2 linked regions of the Ovis aries genome follow. The protein of the gene in region 1 interacts with the protein of each later gene in a pairwise test. Links are inferred from orthologs where the notes say so. Each region holds a gene or a part of one and is shown in the gene's direction. Other genes may lie near its edges.

Region 1 (6,407 bases):
GCTTACAAGAGGCACATGAATAACACAAGGATACATAAAGGTGGAAGGTAAAAGGTGGATGAGAATGGAGCGTTTAAAATACGCACCAGTGGAGAAGAGGTGTGCGATTTTTATATCAAAGTCCACTCTAAGGCAAGAAGCATAAAGAGGGGCATGTCATAATAATAAAAGGCTCAGTTCACCGGGAGAATACGACAACTGCAGCTCTATACACAGCCAATGACGTGGCTTCCGAACATCAGAGTATTTGGCTCACAAGGCTGATGTGAGGATTGAAGCGAAAGTGAAGTCGCCCAGTCTTGTCCGACTCTTTGCGACCCCATGGACTGTAGCCTGCCAGACTCTTCCGTCCATGGGATTTTCCAGGCAAGAATGCTGGAGTGGGTTGCCATTTCCTGAGGATTAAGTACACATAAAGTGTTTGCCTACATCTGTGACACCTGTCAGTCACTGTTATATTACCATAATTGTTGATGTTATTACTTTATATTTGTTCACTTTAATTGTTTTTGTATTGTTGTTGTTTACTAGAGTTCCTTCTGCCCCTGTAACAGGGGTGGGACAGGTTGGGTAAATGACTCCATTATGCAGATGAAACAGATTCAGAGATGAGCAGAGATTAGTCCAAGTCCCTCAGAACCAAGACTGGCCCAAGGTTTATTTGATATTCATTCCCAGGCAATTTCACATAATCCTACTATCTTACCACCTCTTCCGGCTGGCCAGCCTTCCTTCCTTTCACAATGATTTCCCTGAATACTTCTCCGGTGGTTTTGTGCCAGGCACTATCACTATGTAGGTCTCAGGACTAAAACGATGAGAAACAATATATTCTTCCTCGATTTGGCGGTGGTTTAGTTACTAAGTGGTGTCTGACTCTTGCGACACCATGGACTGTAGCCTGCCAGGCTCCTCTGTCCATGGGATTCTCTAGGCAAGAGTACTGGAGTGGGTTGCCATTTCCTTCTCCAGGGGTTCTTCCTGACCCAGGAATCGAACCTGGGTCTCCTCCCTTGCAGGCAGATTCTTTACTGACTGAGCTATCACTACGTAGGTCTCAGGACTAAAACAATGAGAAACAACATATTCTTCCCAGATTTGGAGGGTCTTCCAGTCTACTGGGAGAGGCAGAAGTCAACAGATGGCACAGACAGAAGTAAATCCCCGATGAAGTATACCAAGACTGCACCCATCAAAACACCTAGTCTTGCCTTGGGGAGGTCAGGGAGAGCTTCCAATAGGAGGTGACCTCAGAGCTCCTATCTGACAAATTATCTCCAAAAGCGATTTACCTCCCACAATGTTAGCTACCTCCAAAAGCCAGCGTTTCATTTATTCATTAATTCAGTTACTCATCCATCTATTTAACTCCCATAGACCCTAAGCATCATTCAAGGAGGTGGTAAGGATAAAACAGGCAAAATTCTTTCCAGAATGGAGCAGAGTTAGAGGAAGCCAAAGAATTAGCAAGATCATTTTGGAAGAGGGTAACTGCAAGGAAGAAAAAAAAACAGAGTGAAGGAGGAGTAAGTGCCCCCCCCTTTCAAAACACGAGCCATAAAACCCCTTCTAATCAAAGCTGCCACCTTCTCCTTGGGGCCATGGGCACCTTATCATACTCCAGCAGGGGAAGAAGGGAGGCGGGATTCCTCCCAGTGGCCCTGCTCTTTCAGCAGTTAACCTAGCCATTATTGAGTTCCTCCAGTTTGCACCAGGCAACCTTCCCGGGATTAGACTAGACCACGTTGCGCCGGGGGTGGGGAGGTGGGGGTGGGGTACCAAGGTTCCGTGTGCCCTTGGGCACGTCGCTTTCCTCGGAGCCTGTGATCTACAGAAGTAACTAGGGATTCATGGTGGGTTATCCAGCAGTCTCAGAACTGCCCTGACGCGCAAACCTGAGTTCCTTAAGAAAGTACCATTTAATGCTGTCCTCCCAACATCCCTCAAGGTGAGAGTGCGTCGATAGAGGTGTTTATCCCCATTTCGCAGATGAGCCGAATGTCAGACAAGCGGTTAGTCTGACCAGGCTGCGGGGTGCTGACCTGTGAACTGACTAGGATCTACAGCACCCCCACCCTGACCCCGGCTCCCGCCTCCGCCCTCGCCCCCGCCCCCGCCCCCGCCCCCGCCCCCGGTCGGGGGGGTGGCGCGGCGGCCTCTGCCCCTTTAAGAACGCCCCGCTGATACAAGCAGGAAGGGGGCGGTGCCTGTACCGGAGACGGATGTGCGCGCACACCAATGGACGCTGTAGTCACTGCGGCGGCGTCCAATGGGTGCGGTGAGGGCGGGGCTGGGCGCCAGAGCCTGGTTCCCGAGGCGCGGCGGCCGCGGCTGGGGGCGGGGAGGGGGGCGCAGGACCCCAGGCTGGGGTCCCGGAGCCGGAGGCACGTGTCCCGGGGCGCCAGCGGGGCCGCGTCGGCCCGAAGCACTGCCCGGGCCTGGGCTAGTCCGGGGCCCGGCGCGGCAGGGGCTGCGACTGCTAGGCGGGGTGAAGGGCCGCGGGGGAGGCGAGCTGGGGGGCGCGGGGGGGGGTCGGAGTGCCCGAGGGGGTGCTACATGGTGGGGGCGACCAGGAGTGGGGGCCACGGAGGGTCAAGAGCAGCGGGTGGGGGCGCTGCCGGCTGAGTCGTGCAGGGCCAGGGGTGCCCGAGGGTTGCGGGGGGTCGGGAGCCCCAGACTGGTGGCGTCAAATAGGCGTGGGGCGTTGAGGACTTGGGTGGGAGGTTGAAGGAGGGCCAGGCCGGGGCAGGGGGCGTCTGGAGAGCCTAGGGTGTTATGGGATTGGGAAGGGGGCGTCTGGGGAGATCAAAGTGTTCAGGGGCGACAGACCAGCTGCGGGGGAAGCTGGCCCGGGCTGGGGGCGGTGGTTGGGGTTGGGGGAGGGCTATTTATGCGAGCGCAGGGGATTGTGGGGGTTGGGGCTGGGAGGGTCTCAGAAAATGGGACCCGAGCCCGGAAGGGGCAGGCAGGTGAGAGTTAGGGAGGAGATGCTGTGGGCTATAATGACGGCTTTACCACCTCCAGAGCTCGGGGCCTAGGGGAGGGAGTCAGTTCTTGATGGTCCAGGGAAGAAGCCGTGGGGGTCTCGACCATTTCTGTAAGGGGGAGGCTACTTCGAAGGTGGTCAGAAGGCCTGAGGAGAGAAGGGGCTCCTAGGGAATGGTTTGGGACACGGTCCCTGGGGTTGGGGGGTGGTATTAGGTTCAGGAAGGTATTGCGAAGGAATGCCTTGGGGTTTCTGGGAGGCTCCCCTTAGGAGATGGGACAACTGAAGGTGGGGAGCCCTGGTAAAGATTCACTTTATTTTTCTCTTGGGCTCTAAAAATAGCCTCCCCAAGATCTCAGGGGTTGTCCCCCAGGAAAAAATCCCAGCACCCACTCTGGACAGATTAAGCCCCAGGTTCCAAATCCTGCATCCTGTGGTTGCCTTGCTCTGTGACCTTGGGGAAATGGCTTTGCCACTCTGGGCCTCAATTTCCTTTTCTACAAGGGGATGTTCTCTACTTCCCAGGGTGTTTATAAAGATTAAATAATAATTAACTCTAATAATAGCTACTGCTGTTTGAACCTGATGCCAGGGTTTGGTGAATGGGTTGTTAAGTCCTTGGAACAAACCAGGATTGTTTCTCTACCCACTGTACAGATGAGGAAACTAAGGCCTGGAGCTCCTGAGTCACACAGCAAGTGATGGGCACTGTGGGGAATGGAGGCAGAGGAGATGTGAGGGGTGTGATGGGATTCTTACCCCATCCATTCCCCCCACCAGGGCCAGTTCCCATCCCCCCAGCAGCATGGCATCCTGTGCTGAGCCCTCTGCTGCAGACCCTGAGCCCACTGCTCCGCCGCCTGCTGGGGTCCCCCCACTTGAGGACTTCGAGGTGCTGGATGGGGTGGAAGACGCTGAGGGCGAGGAGGAGGAAGAAGAGGAGGACCTGAGTGAGCTGCCACCACTTGAGGATGTGGGGCAGCCCCCACTGGAGGAGGCCGAGCAGCCCGGGGCCCTTGCCAGAGAGTTCCTGGCTGCCATGGAGCCTGAGCCTGAGCCCGCCCCGGCCCCCGACGAGTGGCTGGACATCCTGGGTAAGGAGCAGGGGTGGCTCGGGTTGACCCATGGCGCCCAGACAGCTCAGGTTTGGGAGTGACCTTGGCCTAGGCCTTCTCCTCCTGAGCCTCGTTTCCCCATCTCTGTCGTGAAGGAGATTGGAAGTAAAACGTGGTAACCACGGTGATCACTAGCCACAGGCAATTGCTTGAGACACTTCATGTTTATGAGCCCTTTTCTTGTCTCTCTCTCTCTGTCACACACACACACACACACACACACACACACACACGTATGACTTGCTTTCTCAGAGCTGCTAAAAGGACTCAGAGACGCTGAATCACCTGCTCAGAGCCACACAGCTCTCAACCCCCATTCCTTTTCTTGGCATTTGTCTGACCCGTGCCCCCCAAAACTGTGTTCTAAGGTCAAGTAGATCTGTGGAACATCCCAATCATAGTCTTCATTAGTGTGCTCAGTGTTGAGAAAAGTCCTGGAAGAGAGAAACTAGGAGAACCCATATGCGCTGCAGCCTCCACTAAACACTCTATCACAGCAACTCTGGAAAATAAACACAGTACTACTAGTTCTGATACCTAGAACACTCAGTAACGCCAATGTCCACACAAATGATAGCACATCGCTAGTAAGTAGTATCAAATGATACAGACACTGGTAAAACCAAGTTGGTACTGATTTCACCTCCACTACAGACACAGACTTTACTATGCCTAAAAAAAAACAAACACCAGGTGATGTTTACTAAGCAGTGGTTCCGTGCCAGGCCTGTGCATCCTCTGATTTTATCCTCACAGCAACCTTGTGCTGTAATTCCTACCATATCCCTGTTTGACAGTTAGGGAAACAGGCTCAGAGAGGTGAAGGCACTTGTCCAAGGTTGCACAGGCCCCTTGGCTCTGTTAAAGTTTGGGAAGTTCTCTACTGACAGGAAGGACTGCCCTGCTCCCTCTGTGAGCATGAGGATGGCTCTGTTTGTTTATATTCGAGCCAACCACTCTCTGAGGCCAGAATTCAGGCTTCTAGACAAAGAAACTGAGGCCTTGAGAGAAGCTGTGATTTACCCAGAGTTTCCCCAGGCAAGAGACAACTCCTGGTTGAGATCCTACCAACATATCCCCTGTTAGTGTCCAGAAGCCTCAAGACACAGGATCCCTTGGCATCCACTAGATAAGTGATTCTGAAACTGGATGCAGGAGCAGATATAAGTTGGGGAGCCCTGCAGAAATTTGGAACACTCTAGAATATTCCACAATATGAGTAGATCTCCCTGCCCATCATCTTTAGACTAGGGTCTGCTCCGACTCATGGCAGTGTTTTCCAGACCTGGGGACTTACAGAATACAGGTACTTCTTGTACACTGGGTGGCTGCAGGTGTCTTGTGCCCCGTAGGTATAAGCCCTCTATTCACCCCAGTAGTTGTAATGGGATGACTGTGGGTGTCTTCACTGTGGGGCTCCTTGAGTGGGTTTGTGAGGGCCTGGGGCCTTGTGCCTGGTCCTCAGGAGGTGTTGGCTGTGGCCATCTGGCCACCCCTAAAATTGTTTGGGGTATGGGGAAGAACGTAATGGTCTCCTTGGTGGCTGGAGGGGGGAGCTAGGGGTTACTTTTGCTTTTAGGTCTTTCCGTGTGATGTGGTGCTTTAGTCGGGACACACTCCTGGCATCACAGGTACTCTACTGACCAAGCAAGCTACTCTCTGGGGGTCACCAGGAGAAGCCCCAGCCACCCCGTTTCGTGGCGGGGTAAACTGAGACCCAGATGTCTCAGGGCTGAGATTGGAACCAAAGGAGAGGGGACAGGGCAGCGCTCTTGAGTCTCTTTTCTGGGCATCCCGGCGCCTTGACTGTGATGGGCAGGAGGGCTTTTCTCAGCCCTTTGCCTTCACTGAGCCGAGATGTTTTTCTTCTTCTCCTCTTCTTTTGGCCACTTGTGGGATCTCAGTTCCCTGATGAGGGCTTGAACCTGGGTCCCAGCAATGAAAGTGCAGACTCCTAACCATTAGGCCACCAGGGAACTCCATTTTCTTTTTAAAAATTATTTTTAATTTAGCAATTAACTAGATTTATGTTTATACTGACATTTTCCTTTTAATTAGTTTGTTTCTGGCTGTGCTGGGTCTTCGCTGCTGCTCTGGCTTTACTCCGGTTTTGGCGAGCAGGGGCTACTCTGCAGTTTTAGCGCATGGGCTTCTCATTGCTCTGGCTCCTCTTGTTGCTGAGCACAGGCTTCAGTAGTTGCAGCTCCCGGGCTCTAGAGCACAGGCTCAATAGTTGTGGCGCACGGGCTTACTTGCTCTGTGGCATGTGGGATCTTCCCAGATCAGGGATTGAGCCCATGTTTCCT
Region 2 (5,771 bases), on another chromosome or scaffold:
TTGACACCTCTTAAAGAGAATAAAACCTTACACAACACAGGTTAAATGAAGTTATAACATTAGGAGATAATTTTATAAATTCTTTCTCCTCCTGTGGTTTCCAGAGGCTGCCTTTTCTCACCCTGGGGCCTGGGGTGTGACCTCAGGTCTCTCTCCCGGTCGCCTGTCCAAGTGAGAGGCCCACTTCTCATTTCTTGCTGACTGTCTGAGTTACCTCTGAGCTCAGGGGCCTGCTCTTGCTCCTGGTTTGGGAGACCTGGCTGGAGGGCCAGCTGCCTTCAGTGACCAGGATGCTCTGTATCGCAGGCTCAGTTCAGTTCAGTCGCTCAGTCGTGTCCGACTCTTTGCAACCCCATGGACTGCAGCATGTCAGGCTTCCCTGTCCATCGCCAACTCCCAGAGCTTGCTCATGTCCATAGAGTTGGTGATGCCATCCAACCATCTCATTTTCTATCATCCCCTTCTCCTCCTGCCTTCAGTCTTTCCCAGCATCAGGGTCTTTTCTAAGGAGTCAGTTCTTTGCATTAGGTGATCAAAGGATTGGAGCTTCAGCATCAGTCCTTCCAATGAATATTCAGGACTGATTTCCTTTAGGATGGACTGATTTGATCTTCTTGCAGTCCAAGGAACTCTCAAGAGTCTTCTCCAGCACCATGGTTCAGAAGCATCAATTCTTCAGCGCTCAGCCTTCTTTATGGTCCAACTCTCACATCCATATGTGACTATTGGAAAAAACCATAGGTTTGAGTAGACCATCCTTTGTCAGCAAAGTAATGTCTCTGCTTTTTAATATGCTGTCTAGGTTGGTCATAGCTCTTCTTCCAAGGAGCAAGTGTCTTTTAATTTCATGACTGCAGTCACCATCTGCAACTTAGCTGTTTGGAGCCCAAGAAAATAAAGTCTGTCACTGTTTTCATTGTTTCCCCATCTATTTGCCATGAAGTGATGGGACCGGATGCCTTGATCTTAGTTTTTTGAATGTTGAGTTTTAAAGCCAGCTTTTTCATTCTCTTCTTTCACTTTCTTCAAGAGGCTCTTTAGTTCTTCTCCACTTTTTGCCATAAGGGTAGCGTCATCTGCGTATCTGAGGTTATTGATACTTCTCCCAGCAATCTTGATTCCAGCTTGTGCTTCATCCAGCCTGGCATTTTGCGTGATATGCTCTGCACATAAGTTAGATAAACAGGGTGACAATATACAGCCTTGTGTTGCAGGTGGGAGACGCCATTGTGTTCCTTGCTGACCTGCCTGGGCCTCAACATCTTGTTCCTCACCTTGAACGAGGGTAAGAACTGCTTCCAGGGCTTTTTGTGAATGAAGGTGGAGAGGAATTCTGAGAATCGGCCCTGTATGAGGGAGCCGCCTGTCCCGCTGTGGGGTCAGCCTCCCTCCGTGTCTGCTCAATGTCAGGACACAGGCTCCTGAGAGATCCACCTGGGGCTAGGATCCCGACTGGGCCACTGGTGTGACATCAGAAGTTCTTTAGCCTGTCTCTTAAGGCCTAATCATACTCATCTCTGAATGGGGCTTCCCTGTGGCTCAAATAGTAAAGAGTCTGCCTGCAATGCAGGAGACCTGGGTTCAGTCCCTGGGTTGGGAAGATTCCCTGGAGAAGGAAATGGCAGCCCACTCCAGTATTATTCTTGCCTGATGAATTTCGTGAACAGAGGAGCCTGGCAGGCTACAGTCCATGGGGTCACAAAGAGTTGGACATGACTGAGTGGCTAAATTTCATTTTCTCTGAAGGGGGATAATAGAAGTGCTTTCCTCAGAGAATAGTTGTGAAGTACGAGATAATCTATGTGTAACACTTAACACAGTTAAAATAAGCAGCCAGTACATCATAGCTATTATTATTGTTTCCTCTGGACTAAATTCATTGAACTTTTCCCAGTTTGCTTTCTGAGGACACGACCTGGGGTGAAGGTACTAGGAAGGTGAACTGATGAGGCATTTTTGCCTGTTGACTTTCTCTGGCTCAGCAAGTGAGCCTGGTGGGGTCTGCCAGGCAGTCAGCAGCAGTGAGGGGTTTGTAGCGTGCAGCCTTTGAGGTCGGTGTGTGGACAGGTGGGTAGCTGGAGGGGTCCTGGGTAGTGAGGTCTCCTGGGGACCTTTTATGAAAAGGCATGCTGTGACCCAGCCCTTTTGGTCAGAACTGGCAGATGGCTGCAGAAAAAGCCAAGCCTGTCAAGGGAAATGAGTGAAGGGCCTGGGATAGAATGTTCTGAGGAGCTGGGTCCTATCTTCATACCTTTGTTCTATTGAATTCCCATTTCTCAAGTGTCTCCTTTGCTGCCTGTGGTTTCAGTGAGTTGAAAAATAAACCCATTTCACATAAGACCCCATCTTCTGTGTCTTAGTAGGATGCTGTTCCGCCTCACTGAAACTCAGATATCCTTCTCAAGCTGTTAGATTTTTCTGAATCTGTTTCCACAGTAAATTAGTTCAGGTGACAGATGCTTCATTACTTTGTACCCAGTGCTCGGGTAGCTTGCTTCCATGTTAACACGGAAGAAGTTCCTTCCTTGGATTTTATTTTAGCCTCACCATTTCTCGATTCAGAGTGGTCAGTGGTGTCCTAAATGCCAGCGGAAGGCTTCCAGTCAGCCCCTGTGACCCAAAGGTCAGAATGTCAGACGTCGGGAGCTCCCCATGGCCAGGCCCCGGGCGCGAGCTGCCTGCGGTGTGCTGTGTGCTATTAGAGGGGTTTCAATATTTTCGAAAGGGCTGGGGCTGCGGCAGTGACCAGGGGCTAGGGGAAAGTCCTAGCCCTCGGGGCCTACCTTCACGGAGAGGCCAGCAGCCATGCCTGTAGTCTGCCTCGTGGTGGTGGGTTCTGTGAGGAAAACGAGGCTGGAGGGTGAGTGGGGAGATGCTGTTTCATACCAGGTGGTCTGGGGCGGGCTCTTTTGGGCAGAGGCCTGGCGGCGGCGAGGAGCGCCATCTGGGTGGGTGGCGGCTCCTGGCCCCGCTGCCCGCTGAGCTGCAGTGTTGTTGCTCCCACAGGGGCCTGGTACTCAGTGGGTGCCCTGATGATCTCAGTGCCCGCCCTGCTGGGCTACCTTCAGGAGGTTTGCCGGGCACGGCTGCCCGAGTCTGAGCTGGTGAGGAGGAAGTACCACAGCGTGAGGCAGGAGGACCTGCAGAGAGTTCGCCTGTCTCGCCCTGAGGCCGTGGCTGAGGTGAAGAGCTTGTGAGTATGGAAGGGGCCAGGGGGGTAAGGGATGGTGACGGTACCAGCTGCCACCACACTGGGTGCTTGCTGGGCACCAGACATCGTGTAAGGCAAAACGTGGATGGTATTCCCTTTGGTCTTTGTTAGAGTTCTGGGCGATGGCTCCTATGATTGACCTCCACTGATGAAGGAGGAAAAAGACAATTGACCAGGCTGGGATGGGAGGCCAGATCTAGCTGATTCCGCAGTTTAGGGTCTTGGCTGAGCACATGCTCGCATGAGCCACTGCCGGGGTTCAGATCCCAGCTCCTCCAGTGTGACTCTGGGCAAGTTACTCAGGTTTGTCATCTGTTGAATGGGAGAAGTATAGGCCTACCTCCTAGGTGGTTGTGAAGACTAACTGGGCGTCTGGTGCCCAGCAAGTGTTCAGTTAAGTATTAGTCATTGTCGCTCCACTGTGGAGGAACTTCCTAAATGTGGCAGAGCTGGAGCTCCTGAGGAAGCACCTTCAGACTGTTGGCAAGCAACAACTGCAGCAGCTTCAGTGGCTCTCGTGACACACAGCAGGGGTTCTCATCTCTTCCTGGGCAGCAGAGACATCTGTGGAGCTCAAAAAAAAAAATTATAAACAAGTGGAGGGCTAGGCTCCTCTGAAAAAATTCTGAGTCAAGTGTCTGCGGGGGCAGGGGTGCTGCATATCTGCAGTTTTTCAAAAAACCTTTTTCCTTAGAAATGATTTTAAACTTATGGAAGAGTTCTAGGAATGGTGCAAAGAACTCTCATCTGCCCTTCACCCAAACAGAACAGTTATTACCGTTTTGCCACAGCGGCTTCATCCATCTCCCTACACTAGGACATAATTTTTTTCTTCTTGAACCATTTGAAAGTAAATTACAGACATCCTGTCTATTTACCCCAAACACTTCAGTATATATTTTCTAAGAACAAGGACATTCTCTTCTATATTCACAGTCCTGTCATCAGATTTTGGGAATTTAACATTGATAACATTAGCATTAGTGCCATTATCTAATAATTGTTCATGATCAAATTTTGTCAGTTGTACTAATAAGGTCTTTTATATAAATTTCTCCTGATCTGGGCTCCAGTCCAGACTCTTACGTGACATTTAGTCTCCTGTGACCTGGAACAGTTCCTTAGTCTTTCTTATGACCTTAACATTTTAAAATAGGACAAGTTTATTATTTTGTAGAACTTCCCTTTTCTTTCGGTAATTTGGTTCTTCATGATTGGATTCAGCTTTTGCATCTTTGGCAGAAACTTGACGTCATTGTATCATATCAAGAGGTACATGATGTCACTGTCTGTTATGGGAGATAGTAACTTCGATTACCTTGGTGAAAGTTTCTCCACTGTAAAGTGACTATTTATTTTACCCTCTAGAGTTAGTAATCTGAGTGGGGTTGCTTTGAGACTTCGTTAAGTATCTTGTTCCTCATCAAACATTCACCCGCTACACTGAAATCCACTGTTGGGTCTTGCTTTCGTCAGTTTATTACTGTGATAGTTGCATAGGTGATTTCCTAAGTGTCATCATTGCCTGACATTCTGTAAGAAAGAGCTTTTCCTTCTTATTATCTATATGAATGCAGGATTTTAAAATTTTATTCAGTGGGTTATAATCCATTACTATGATTATTAATTTTGATCTTATTTTGTCCTCAGTTTGGGCTTTCCTGATAACTCAATTGATAAAGAATCCACCTGCAATGCAGGAGACCCTGGTTCGATTCCTGGGTCAAGAAGATCTGTTGGCGAAGGCCCACTCCAGTATTCCTGGGCTTCCCTTGTGGCTCAGCTAGTAAAGAATCTACCGCAATGAGGGAGACCTGGGTTCAATCCCTGGGTTAGGAAGATAGCCTGGAGAAGGGAAAGGCTACCCATTACAGTATTCTAGCCAGGAGAATGCCATGGACTGTATAGTCTATGGGGTTGAAAAGAGTCGGACATGACAGCAACTTTCACTTTTTTAATTTTATGATATGGTGGTGGTGGTGGTGGTTTAGTTGCTAAGTCATGTCCAACTCTTGCGACCCTATGAACTGTAGCCTGCCAGGCTTCTCTGTCCATGAGATTCTCCAGGTAAGAGTACTGGAGTGGGTTGCCATTTCCTTCTACAGGGGATCTTCCCGAACCAGGGATCGAACCTGGGTTTCCTGTGTTGCAGGCAGATTCTTTACCAACTGAGCTATGAGGGAAGCCCTATGATACAGTAGAATGTTCAAATTCATCTTCCGCATTCCCTGCCTTGCTCTAGAATCAGCGATTTTTCCAAGGAGCCCTTCAGAAACCAAGGTCTGGGTGCTTGTTGCACAGGTGTGCTCTCTTTGCTTTTGATGGGGGTGGGGGATCCATTTAAAAAAACTGTCCAGGTCAGTCTACCTGAAGCCCTAGGTGGAGACACATTGCTGTACATCCTGCCATCCATCTTCACAGCTCCAGTGCATCTGGGAGGTGGCACCCTGCTCCTCATGGTATAGTGGAAAATTGCATCCTTGAAAAAGTTAAGTAACTGGCCTAATACCAACAGCTAGGAAGAGACCAAAGCAGGAACCTCAGCAAGTTTTCCAAGAAG

The links. The genes of interacting proteins can lie anywhere in the genome.
Region 2: the proteins of FKBP8 (region 1) and ZFYVE27 interact in binary tests that used the Homo sapiens proteins (3 or more experiments, as listed by UniProt). The link is inferred for Ovis aries from reciprocal best matches to the Homo sapiens genes FKBP8 and ZFYVE27.

Annotation. Positions count from the first base shown.
Region 1 is NC_056058.1:4,446,405-4,452,811, forward strand, and holds the start of FKBP8 (peptidyl-prolyl cis-trans isomerase FKBP8), read left to right. Parts: upstream 1-2,247; 5' UTR 2,248-2,273; intron 2,274-2,299; exon of another isoform or gene 2,300-2,488; intron 2,489-3,766; 5' UTR 3,767-3,791; coding exon 3,792-4,080; intron 4,081-6,407. UniProt on the Homo sapiens protein: Constitutively inactive PPiase, which becomes active when bound to calmodulin and calcium. Seems to act as a chaperone for BCL2, targets it to the mitochondria and modulates its phosphorylation state.
Region 2 is NC_056075.1:18,723,577-18,729,347, forward strand, and holds part of ZFYVE27 (protrudin), read left to right. Parts: intron 1-1,214; coding exon 1,215-1,285; intron 1,286-3,006; coding exon 3,007-3,193; intron 3,194-5,771. UniProt on the Homo sapiens protein: Key regulator of RAB11-dependent vesicular trafficking during neurite extension through polarized membrane transport. Promotes axonal elongation and contributes to the establishment of neuronal cell polarity.